Rattus norvegicus: one gene and its partners. The protein of the gene in region 1 purifies or fractionates together with the protein of each later gene. This does not show direct contact. Links are inferred from orthologs where the notes say so. Each region holds a gene or a part of one and is shown in the gene's direction. Other genes may lie near its edges.

Region 1 (4,229 bases):
ACAAAATCTAAGTCAGGTTTTGCACAATCTTGGCCTTTTTTTTTTTTTTTTAATTTTGAGATAGAGTCTTACTATGTAGCCTTGGCTAGCCTGGGGCTGGCTATGAATACCTGGCTGGCCTGGAATTCACAGAGATCCGCCTGCTTCTGCCTCCTGGGTGCTGGGATTAAAGGCGTGAGCCACCACATTCTGGTGTCAGTGAAAACCCACCAGCCTCTAACCTGTTCACCTCTCAAACACAGTCTTTATCTGCTCCCCATCTCATAGCATACCACGCCCCCTAAGTCTTAGTTCAAATCCCTGTGACCTTCAGCCTTTGTGTTCACCAGCCTAGCCTCCTCCAGTCAAAACATCTCCCTTCTTTTTTTTTTTTTTTTTGGTCTTTTTTTCGGAGCTGGGGACCGAACCCAGGGCCTTGTGCTTCCTAGGCAAGCGCTCTACCACTGAGCTAAATCCCCAGCCCCAAACATCTCCCTTCTTAATCTAGCTGCTTCAATGTTTCCTTCCCTTCTGTGTAATGGGTGACAGATCTTACACCTTGTTCTCAGCTCATAAGGAAGGAAGGAAGGAAGGAAGGAAGGAAGGAAGGAAGGAAGGAAGGAAGGAAGGAAGGAAGGAAAAAGAGAGGAAGAAAGAAAGGAAAAAGAAAGGCTTTCCTGCCCTAAGTCAAGATTTTCTCGTTAAAATAAATACTCAAATTTATCACTGGCGGCTGCGGGAGGGCGAGCCAGTGACCCGGGCTACTCCGAAGGCGGAAACACGAGAATCGAGAATTCTACACATGGGGATACCCGGGGTCAGACAAAACCCACCGGCCTCTAACCTGTTCCTCTGTAGCTAGAATTCTACCGATCTGTTCATCTCATTCTGGGCTCCCTCTCCATCAGACCACCGGTGAGCCCAGGGGAAGGACGGCCCGGTCTGCCACTGTACCTTCCACTCTTTCGTAAAGTATGGAAAAAAGATCGTCCGGACACCTCGGGGCTGGGCCCGAGGTGGAGGCGGCCACAGACAGGGGCGGGGCGTAGGGCACTTAACCGCAAGTCTGGGGACAGAAACCCAAGCTGGACCCCACGCAGCAACGAGGGCTGAGCCGCGCGGTGGATCCAGAGGTAGCCCAGTGGGTAGCTAACCGGGGGAGTGGCGTACGCTGCCCCGGAAGGAAGTCGACCACGGAGGCAGGGCGGTCCGGGGCGGGGCGGAGCAGGCTGCTGGCCGCGGTCCGCGCGTCCCCGCGTCCCTCCCGCCGTCCCTCGAGCTCCGGGGCCCCCTTACCCGCCCTCCCGGCCGCGGCCGCCGCTCCTCAGGACGCCGAGCGTTCGGGGCCGGAACCCGGAGACAAGCCGGTGCCGATTGGCGACGCTCCGTCACGTGACCGCAACGCTCCGCCGGCGCCAATTTCAAACAGCGGAACAACTGAAAGCGGCGCTGCGGGACCCACCCCCGGCCCGGGCTCACCCCCCACCCCGCCCCGGGTTCCCACCCCGGCCGTCCCGCCGGGACCCGCCCGCCCTGGCCTGGCTCGGCCCCGCGTGGAGCAGCGGTGGCCTGTGAGGTGAGTGGGGTGCGACCCGGTCCGGGGAGGGCTTGGAGTCGGGACTGCCGGGGCTGTGGGGCGCGAGGGGGTGTTGAGGACCGCCAGGAAGAAAGTCTGAGCCGCCGGCCTCGGCTTTCCCGCCGCGTTCTCCGAGCACCCCGGGACCCTGGGAACAGGCCTGCCCTCTGAGTCTGCACTTGCAGTCAACCCTGCCTCCGCCTCCACAGCTGCAGGGTGGGATCCTAGCTGAGCGTTGCAAGGTTCCCGGTTCTGTGTGGAGAATGGGGTCTTTGGGGATGGCTCTGCAAGTCGCCTTGCGCTAGAAGATTTTGGGAGTGTTAGGAAAAGGCTGGTCAAAGAGAGAGGTACCCTATGGTGGGGGGTGTCTACCATTTGATTGGGGTGGGTGCAGTGTGAAGCAAAACGAGAACTGAGATTTGAAGGTCGAGAGAACGAAGTATAAAGGAGAGAAAGCTACAGGGAGGAAGGGACCTAAGAAGGCTAAGCAGCTGGCAAATGTCAAAAAAGTGTAATTACTTTTTGGAAGGTTTCCTAAAGTGCCGGCTGTTTCTCCCTTTCTCGCAGGATTGCAAAATGGAGTGGCAGGATTTAATTTAATGATAAATTATTCTATCTATCTATAAAAACCTATGAAATGCTTTTTCTAAAGACTTCCTTCCTTAGCATTTCAAAGTGACTTTAGCATAGCCAGGCATAGTGGTGAATGCCTGTAATCTCAGCACCTAGAAAATTGGGGGCCAAAGGCTCAGTGGTTCAAAACCAGCCTGGGCTACATGAGACGCTATCTCAAAAATTAAAGCCACCTTAAGCATATTAATGATAGCACATTTTGGTATGGAGAAGATCTGTATTACAGTCTTTAGAAGCAGAAAAATCAAGTATTATACTTATAAAACTAAAATATAGTTACTCTCAAGTACCAAAATGTCACTGTGCAAATGCTTTGCAGATTTTGAAAGAAAGAATGGGACTGGAGAGATGGCTCAGTGGTTATTGACAACTATTGAAAAAAATTATTTTTAATTCAAGAGGATTGGAGTTTTTAATTGTAGTGTGCTTACCAAGCATTCACAAAGCTCCAGGTTCAATTCCTACCACTACCTAAACCTGGCATTGTAGCCACACCTGTGATTCTGGCAGGTGGAGGCAGGAGAATCAGACGTGTAGGTCAGCTGCATTATTTGAGACGGAAAGAAAAGGGCACTAGGACTATGGCTTGGGTAGAGTCTTTCATTCGTCCCTACAGTCATCGAGAGTGACCTGCATTCTAGTGGACAGTGGCTGGTATTTCCACATTCTTGTAGATGTGTATTCCTCTGGCCAAACATTCAAAAAGAGGTTTTTGCATTTTTACTGGGGCGGGGGTTGGGGAGGAGGGTTGCCCACATGCCACAGCACATGTATGGAGGTTGGAGGGTAACAGTCAGGAGCTGATTCTCTCTTCCCACCATCGTGGTCCTGGGGACTGAATGCAGGTGGCCAGGCTTAGCAGCTGATGGTTTCGGTCATTGAGCCATCTTGCCAGCCTCCCCTCCCTCCCAAATCTTTCTAGTTTGTTTGCCTTTTTGTAGTACTGGGAACTGAACTTAGGGCCTTGCTAAGCAAGCACTCTATTACTAAGCTACATTCTCAGCCTGGCCAAACATTCTTAAGCTTACAGGGGACCATGCACTTCAGTGCAGTCCCATGTTCCCATCTTGAAGTGTTTGCTGCAGTTTTCAGCTTTCCTTGGTCAGTGATAGGGCTTTATTTGTTTGTTCTTGTTTGCTCGTTTGTTTTTGAGACAGGGTCTCATGTGGCCCATGCTGACCTTGAATTCACTCTCTGGCTAAGGGTGACCTTAAACCTTCTAGGTGCTGGGATCACAAGTGTGCATCAAACCTAGCTTCTGTCCTTATTGTCTGAGGGTTGGACAAAGGTCCAGGCAGGATTCCCCTGGGCCTTTGAGCTTCTGCTTCTGTCTGTTCATGCAGAGGAACACTTCCAGTTTGTCTCAGCCCAGCAGATCTGATAGCAAGCTTCTCCTTGCCCTCTGCAGGGTCAAAGCTTGTGATTCTCGATGGAGAGTGAAAGCACAGCTTCATGATGAGAACCAGCCCCCGGCGGCCACTGATTCTCAAGAGACGGAGGCTGCCCCTTCCTATTCAAAATGCCCCGAGTGAAACCTCAGAGGAAGAAGCAAAGAGATCCCCTGGACAGCAGGAGCCTACTCAAGCACAGGCCTCCCAAGATGTGGCAGAGTCCAGCTCTTGCAAATTTCCAGCTGGAATCAAGATTATCAACCACCCAACCATGCCCAACACACAAGTGGTGGCTATCCCCAACAACGCGGACATCCAGAGCATCATCACAGCGCTGACTGCCAAAGGGAAAGAGAGTGGCAGCAGTGGGCCCAACAAGTTCATCCTCATCAGCTCTGGTGGGGCCTCATCTCATCCTCCTGATCCTCAATCTCAAGCCCAAACCAGCACTGATTCCAAGAGAACAGAACTGATCACCGAGACGTTGGGACCAAAGCCAGGGGCTAAGGGTGTGCCTGTTCCCAAGCCACCTGGAGCTCTTCCAAGGCAAAGACAGGAGAGCTGTGGTATGTGGTCTGCAAGGGTGTGGAGGTTGGCTTTTCTCCTCACTGGAAAGGTCTTCAGTGTGTCACACTGATGTCTGTGGTAGG
Region 2 (4,107 bases), on another chromosome or scaffold:
CAGTATGGTGTGGTGGGAGGGAATACCTCAGTGGACCGATGCTGAAGCATATACCCTTCACACCAGATACCAGCCATGATGGGTTTAGTACAGAATAGTTTATTTGGGGGCATGGGAAAGGGAGTTGAGAAAGGAATAGAGACAGAGAAAGAGAGGGGACAGAGGACAGAGAGAAGGGGGAAGGGAGGGGAAGGGAAAGGAGAGGAGGAGAGAAGCAGTTCTTTTTTTATAGCAAACTGGCCTATCTGGCTGTTGCTAGGTAACTGTTGGGCAGAGCATAGAAGGAATGCCAACAACCTGTGCTACAAGAGATCCTGGTCAACAAATAAATAAATCCTCATTGATGTTACTGAAATTTAATGTGGAAAAAGATTTCACTGAAGTTATTTAGCCTTAATAAGGTGTCTGAGGTAGAAGGATGGAGTGCTGCATTATGGATTCTTGTTAAATAGAATAGATTCTACAAAACTGTATTTTTGAAGTAATCTTAAACAGGAGCGAAATTAAGCATGTGGCACATTTTCTTTTGTCCCTGGGGCAGTAGCTATTGGGGCGATTGGTATGTTAATCTATTTGCTTAGGCTATAACTTCATGCTATAAACCTCAAAATCCATCCCAGGCAGCGGTCGGAACAATCATACTAAAGACTGTCTCTGCTTCAAAGCTTTCGCGAACTCTTAAGATAGTACTGGCACTTCTGTAGATGAGGATGAGAAACAGTAAGTAGGGGCTGGAGAGATGGCTCAGCGGTTAAGAGCACTGACTGCTCTTCCAGAGATCCTGTTCAAATCCCAGCAACCACATGGTGGCTCATTCATAACCGTCTGTAATGGGATCAGATGCCCTCTTCTGGTGTGTCTGAAGACAGCTACAGTGTACTTATATATACTAAATAAATAAATCTATTTTTAAAAAGAGAAACAATAAATAGGACAGCAAAACTGTTATGCGTGCTCCAGAAACGTGGCGGCCCCACAGTCATTTTCCTAAGGTCCAACGGAGTTGCCTTGGACAGCACACAAGTGGGCATTGCCGGCCAAGCCTACCTAAAGCAGGTGGCAGCAAAGAGGCGAGTGCGCAGGCGCAGAGCTTGACCTCACGAGGGGTGGGCGGTGCTGCCAGCTACAGCCTCGCTCTGGCCCCACCCCTCGCCGAACTTGGGATCGCGGGATCGCCCAGGAAACGCATTCTACGGGAACCCGCAGCACCAATGGGAAGAGAGCGAGTGCCATGAACTGACCAATGAGGAGGGAGCGGCCCGGGGTTTAAACCCAGGCCCGGCAGACTCCTCCCGGCGTGCTGTGGGGGAACGGCTGTTAGTGTTTAGGTGTGGGCAGCCAGAGGTTAGGGTGTCTTCTCAGATCGGCGAACCTCTGCTTCAGGAGGAGCCATGGCGCTCAGGGTCACTAGGGTGAGTCGGGCCGGGCGCTGCGGTCCTCGCTGTGGGAGAAGGCCGCGGCGGCCAGGAGGGGAAGGGGATGCCCGGAAGGTTCCGGCCAATGGAGGAGCTAAGGACCCTCCCTGGAGGGTGAAAAAAGACTTCGGGACATATCTGGGCTGAAGGACTTAGAGGGAGTAGGGTGGTGTGCTTTTAATGATGAAGGCCCAGAGTGAATCTTCCCAGAGTCTGTCTGCCCAGAGTCTTCCCAGAGAGCTGTCTACAAGGAGGCTTTCATGATTACCTTTCCGATGTAAATTTCACCGTGTTTAGGATTGCTTGGGACTTAAAGGGAAATTGGATAATAGGTGAACGTTTTGGGTGGAAACCTGCTTGTCAGGGCTGGAGGATAGATCCTAGAGCCCTTGCTTTCCATAGTGGGGTCCCGCCTTAATTAACCCATGACTTCCTGGAGCCGCCATGGATCCTCTCTCAAGTGGTTCTTACTTCTTTCAGAACACGAAAATTAACACAGAAAATAAGGCCAAGGTCAGCATGGCAGGCGCCAAGCGTGTGCCTGTGGCAGTTGCTGCCTCCAAACCCCTGCTGAGATCGAGAACTGCTCTTGGAGACATTGGTAATAAAGTCAGCGAACAGTCAAGAATACCCCTCAAAAAGGTAACTTATCTTCCTGGTCCAGTTATCCTGAAAAAGCCCATCTTCTAGGTGTCACCGTTGGAAAAACATTCTGTTCTTTCACTTTCATCCACAGGAAACAAAAAAGTTAGGTTCTGGAACAGTTACTGTTAAAGCCCTACCAAAACCTGTGGACAAGGTGCCAGTGTGCGAACCAGAGGTGGAACTGGATGAGCCTGAGCCTGAACCTGTTATGGAAGTGAAACACTCTCCTGAGCCTATTTTGGTAAACTTAGCATTTTAAAAAGTGTATTCCTCCTCTCTGACTTCATTTCATGTTGATGCACACGACGGCATTTAAATATATTGTTTATTGAGTGGTTAGTGCATTTTACGTGCACTAACAGCTCTAGGGTAAGTATTAGCACTCTGCTTCAGATGGTGGCAGATAAATATGGTAGGGCTCTTGTTTTATGTAGACAGTCTCACTGTGTGCTCCTGGCTGGCCTGGAACATAGAGGTTTGCCTGCCCCTCGAGGCCTGGGATCCAGAGGTGGCATAATCATTTTCTTTTTTGTGTAACTGTATAGCTTCCGCTGTCCTTGAGTTTGAGATTCCCACCTCTCCAATGCTGGGGTGATATATTCAGGCTAGATCTTTTAATTGGTTTCTTTAAAAGGAAAAAAAAATCTCAGACAGAAATAAGATTAATTAAATAGGGTCCTTGGTAACACATCTTCCAATCCCAGCATTCTGGCCTAGAGGCAGGTGGGCCTCTAAGTTCAAGGCGGGCTGTGTATATAGTAAGATCCAGTCCAGACAGAGCTGCATCTAGTGAAACCGTTTAAAAAAAAAAAATAGGGCTGGAGAGATGGCTCAGAGGTTAAGAGCACTGACTGCTCTTCCAAAGGTCCTGAGTTCAAATCCCAGCAACCACATGGTGGCTCACAACCATCTGTAATGGGATCTGATGCCCTCTTCTGGTGTGTCTGAAGACAGCTACAGTGTACTTATATATAATAAATAAATAAATCTTTAAAAAAAAAAAAGATGATGGATTAATGTTGATGGGTTAACATTTAAGCCCCAAATGGAAGTTTACCTGAGTTCGTAGCCTGTTAGATTGTGTTTAGCATAGGGATGCTCTGGGTTCAGTCCTTGAGTACTAAAACCACACACACACACCGCCAGATTTTACTACTAGGTGTGATGGTGCATGTTTGTGATTTTAGTACTTCCTCTAAGGCAGGAGGGTTGAATGCTCAAGGCTAGCTAGGGCTCTCTGGGTTTGTAATCAAGAACTTGTATTCACCTGAATAATTGATTAATTGATAATTGAAGGCTTGGCATTCTTTTGAATTGACCTCACATGATGCTGATGAATAAATGGCTTTATTATCACTTACCTGCTCGTTTCCTTTGACTTGCCTTACATGTTAGTATCTATAGAGTCCTGTGTGTGCCCAATCGTATGTATCTGAAGAGAGACTCCTTTGGAGCTGGAGTAACAAGCATTTGTGAGCCACCCAGTGTGGATGCTAGGATCTGAATTCTGGTCCTCATGGAGTATCAAGGGCTCTTTAACTGCTGAGACAGTTCTCCAGCTCCCATGCTCTCTTGTATTTTGTGTGAGAATACACAGAGAAGTCAGAGACAGCTTTTTTTTTTTCCCCCTTCGGAGCTGGGGACCGAACCCAGGGCCTTGCGCTTCCTAGGCAAGCACTCTACCACTGAGCTAAATCCCCAACCCCTTAGAAGACAGCTTTTGAGTCAGTTCTTCCACCATGTGGATCTCCTGGGGGTTGAACTCAGTTGTTAGGCTTAGCAACAGGTACCTTTACCCGTCTTGCCAGCCCACTTCTTCGTACTTTAAACTACCTGAATCTAAATTGGGGCTTATTTTTTTATGAGACCAGATCTTGCTGGCTTGCAGTTTGCTATGGAGACCAGGCTGGCTTCAACTCAGAGACCTGCCTTCCAGGTGCTGGGATCAAAGCTTATATTAACCATGCCTGGCTCTGATTGTTAGAACTGTTTTCTGATTGTTAGAATTGTTTGTTTTTTTTAAAGATTTATGTATGTGAGTACACTG
Region 3 (3,643 bases), on another chromosome or scaffold:
ATGTTGAACCTGGGCTGACTTCTCGAACTTGTGACCTTGGCTTCACAAATGATACTAATGTGGATATGTACCACCATGCCTGGACAGTCTATTTAATGTATGTGAGTGTTTTGCCTACTTGTGTGTCCGTACCATGTGCATGCCTGGTGCCTGAGGAGGCCAGTTGTGAGCTGGTCTGTGGGTGCTGGGATCAAATCAAGATCTTCTGGAAGAGGGAATGCTGTTAACTGCTGCTGGGCTGTCTGTCTCCTCATCCACTGTGATGGTTTCCATCCTGGTTTTCAGCCATGGAGGATTTAACTCCCTGCGACTCTGACCCTCCCTCCCACCCCATTGCCTACAGTATATCCTATCCTAGTTTCCTTTCTGTTGCAGTGATATAAAACACTTCACCTAAAGCAAGTTGGAGAGAGAAGGGTTGACTTGGCTTGCACTTCCAGGTCACCGTTAATCATCGAGGGATAAAGCAAGAACTTGAAACCAGAACCAAGGGGCAACCCTGCTTGCTGGCTGGTTCCGAGCTTACTTGCATGCTCTTTTGGAGACAGGGGCCTTCCATAGCCCTAGCTATCCCGGAACTCTGCCTATATAAACTGGCCTTGATCTCACAGAAATCCGCCTGCCTCTGCCTCTGCCTCTCAAGTGCTGGGATTAAAGGTGTGCACCCCCGCCTCCCAGCTGACTCCAAGTTATTAATTAAAGTGAAGTAGATGTTGGTCCAGGTGCTGGTGATGCACGCCCTTCCCCCAGCACCTAGGAAGCAGAGGCAGGGGATCTTAGTAGTTAGGACAACAGAAGTTACACTATGATGCCTCAGACATAGAACTAATCTGCTAGTACTGTCTATGAGTATATTTCCTTATTCTCTGGCTTTTGTTCTAAGTGTTTCCCCCTCCACTGTTTGTTTGTTTGTTTGTTTTAATAAAGACAATTTTATTAAAAGTTTAAGAGAAAGACATAGTTCCGGGTAAGTGTAAGTTCCAGCACCCACCAGGAGATGGAGAGAAAGCCATGCCTTTTTAAGTTAGTTGTGGAACAGAAGTAGCTTATTAAGAAAGGTAAGAGCTGGGCAGTGGTGGCACACACCTTTAATACAGGCACTTGGGAGGCAGAGGCTAATGGATGCCTGTGAGTTCAAGACCAGCCTGGTCTACAGAGTTCCCAGGTAGCCAGGGCAACACAGAGAAACCCTCTTGAAAAACAGAGGATGGGAGGGAGGGAAACAGGGTTGGAGAGATGGCTCAGCATATCTTGCTGCTCTGCGGAGGACCTGGGATCAGTTCCCAGCAGCCACGTGGTGCCTAGCAGCCCTCTGTAACTCACTTCAGGGATCCTTTGTCCTCTTCAGCCTCAGACACAGGCACGTCTTTAGTCCCTAGATAAAGTATGCAGGTGGAGCCCGGTTCCTCTGTGCTGTGACTGCCGCCCTGTTAAGTTGCTTGTCTTTGACCTCTCACTGTTAGAATGAACCCTCCTTTTCTGTTGTTTACTTCCTTGTTTTAGTGGAGCACACCCTTCATTAGCATCCTGAGCTCTGTCCTCAATTCTATCTCCCACTTAATAGATGAGTTGAGTAGGTACAGAGCTTAAAAATAACTTTTGTTCAGAATATTGAGAGCATTATGATGCCTTCATCTTTTCCTTCTCTCTTTGGTTTCACGCGTCCTGGGACATTTCTTATTTTTTTTTATTTGTTTTAACCTTCCAATCCTTTGGAAATTACTTTGGCTGAGAAGTTTTTGTTTTCTAAATTCTCCTTTTTGGACCAAGTTCCTAATGTATGTTTGCAGCTGCTAAAATGACCAAAACACCTTCTGTGCCTGTCTGTCGGTCTGTCTGTCTGTCTGTCTGTCTGTCTGGTGTAGTGGTTCACGACCTCTGGTGGTGACCCCTTTTGACGGTCAAATGACAAACACAGGTATTTACAGTTTACAACGGAAGCAAAAGTACGGTTAGGAAGTAGCAGTGGGAGTGACTTTATGGTTGGGGTCACCACAGCGTTAGGAAATTTGAGAATCACTGGCCGTGTGTTTCTCTCTCTTTGCTGACCCATCCGTATTGGTTAACGGGGGAGGTTTGCTGTGAAGGGATGCTGGTCTGTGGACGCCCCAGTGCAGTTAAGAAGCAGTCAGTGACTGTGGTTGAGCTTATCTGTGAATGCCTTTACTGCTTATCTGCTGATGGCCTTTACTGCAGTGTTTGGTGTCCACAGGCCCTTTGGGAGGACATTCCAAGGACCTTTCCTCTGGAGTTAATCATTTCCCCAGAGGCAGGTAATTCCTTTAAGAACATTGTTGCCTGGGCCCCCAGGGTACGTAGATGGGGTATGGGGACCTCACCTCCAGGGTACAGATTTCCATGGAACCCCAGTTTCTGACCTGTGTGTTGTGGCCACAGTTGCTGGGTTATTTCTCTCTAAAGAGGAAACCTCCTGCCTTGGAGGTTGGACAGCTGTTGTGCTTACTTAACCTGGGTTCCTCACTCCAGTCCTGGGGCTCCTGCAGTTCTGGGAGGAGCCTAGGAATGAATTGGTTCTGACTCGAATCCTCCTGTAAGGTCAATTTGGTTTGAACTCCTAGTCTCCTGGGCTGGCTGTTGTCCGCTTTCCATCTTCTGGTAACTTCCACAAGCTCACCTGCTGCCACTTCTTCCCAGGGCCCTTCCTGTTGCTACACCTTTGCTCTCTGGCTTTGTTTCCAGTCTTCCTTTGTTGTTGCAGTGTGATCCTGGGAGAATAGAGAGGAAGGCAGGTGCCAAGTGTCACCTGAGTCTGAGCTGGCTCTTTTCTCGGGGTAAACCCATGCATATTATCTTTGGGGGCCTCCCTTGATTCTCGGTTGGGAACTCGGAACTCCTCTGTGGGGCTTGATTGGCCTCGATCGTGCAGTAGCCTCACCTCCCTCTGCAGTCACCTTGGTTGCAACACTTCACTTACAGATGTGTGGATAAGCTGCAGCCGCTGAGAGCTGCATGTCAGAGGCCCTGGATTTTTTTCTTCCTCAGGACAGACAATGCTGTGAAGAATCACTGGAATTCCACCATCAAAAGGAAAGTCGACACGGGAGGGTTCCCAAACGAGTCCAGAGACTGCAAGCCTGTCTACTTGCTCTTGGAGCTCGAGGACAAGGATTACCAACAGAATGTCCAGCCTGTGGAAGGCCCGGTGAGTGGGCAGCCTTGGGGCTCGTTCTCTGGGCTCGGTTCCAGGCTGGTTGGTTTGCTTTATTTCCTGGTCATCTGACCCAATCTCCCCAAGAACTTCCCCAGAGCCACTCACCCATTTTCTGCCTAGGATCTGAGTGTGGCCAGCATGTTTCTAGAGCTTTGCTTGTGACAGACCAGCTAGCCCTAGTTCTCATTCAGGAGGGGAGAGCAGTGGTATGATGGGTAACACTGAGGATGATGGGTAACACTGGGGAGAGGTCCTAAGGCTCTGTCCTCTCAGTGACTGTCTTCCCGTCAATCTGCCCGTGTGGAGGTCAGAGGACAACTCGTCATGGTGACTTATATGTTTTTTTCTTTCTTTCTTTTGGGGGGGGGGATGGGGGAGGGGTGCATCTTGTGAGACAGGCTCTCTTTCTGTGTGGCTCTGTCCTGGAATGTGCTGTACAGGCCATGCTGGCCTCAAACTGCCTCCCAAGTA

Evidence for each region.
Region 2: the proteins of Foxm1 (region 1) and Ccnb1 purify together in Homo sapiens (affinity purification with western blotting; 4 studies listed by BioGRID, with this or other methods). This does not show direct contact. The link is inferred for Rattus norvegicus from reciprocal best matches to the Homo sapiens genes FOXM1 and CCNB1.
Region 3: the proteins of Foxm1 (region 1) and Mybl2 purify together in Homo sapiens (affinity purification with western blotting; 3 studies listed by BioGRID and IntAct, with this or other methods). This does not show direct contact. The link is inferred for Rattus norvegicus from reciprocal best matches to the Homo sapiens genes FOXM1 and MYBL2.

Annotation. Positions count from the first base shown.
Region 1 is NC_086022.1:163,324,235-163,328,463, forward strand, and holds the start of Foxm1 (forkhead box protein M1), read left to right. Parts: upstream 1-1,393; 5' UTR 1,394-1,555; intron 1,556-3,596; 5' UTR 3,597-3,640; coding exon 3,641-4,145; intron 4,146-4,229. UniProt on the Homo sapiens protein: Transcription factor regulating the expression of cell cycle genes essential for DNA replication and mitosis. Plays a role in the control of cell proliferation. Also plays a role in DNA break repair, participating in the DNA damage checkpoint response.
Region 2 is NC_086020.1:33,652,409-33,656,515, reverse strand, and holds the start of Ccnb1 (G2/mitotic-specific cyclin-B1), read left to right. Parts: upstream 1-1,290; 5' UTR 1,291-1,391; coding exon 1,392-1,412; intron 1,413-1,895; coding exon 1,896-2,057; intron 2,058-2,151; coding exon 2,152-2,301; intron 2,302-4,107. UniProt on the Homo sapiens protein: Essential for the control of the cell cycle at the G2/M (mitosis) transition.
Region 3 is NC_086021.1:172,134,779-172,138,421, forward strand, and holds part of Mybl2 (myb-related protein B), read left to right. Parts: intron 1-3,003; coding exon 3,004-3,163; intron 3,164-3,643. UniProt on the Homo sapiens protein: Transcription factor involved in the regulation of cell survival, proliferation, and differentiation. Transactivates the expression of the CLU gene.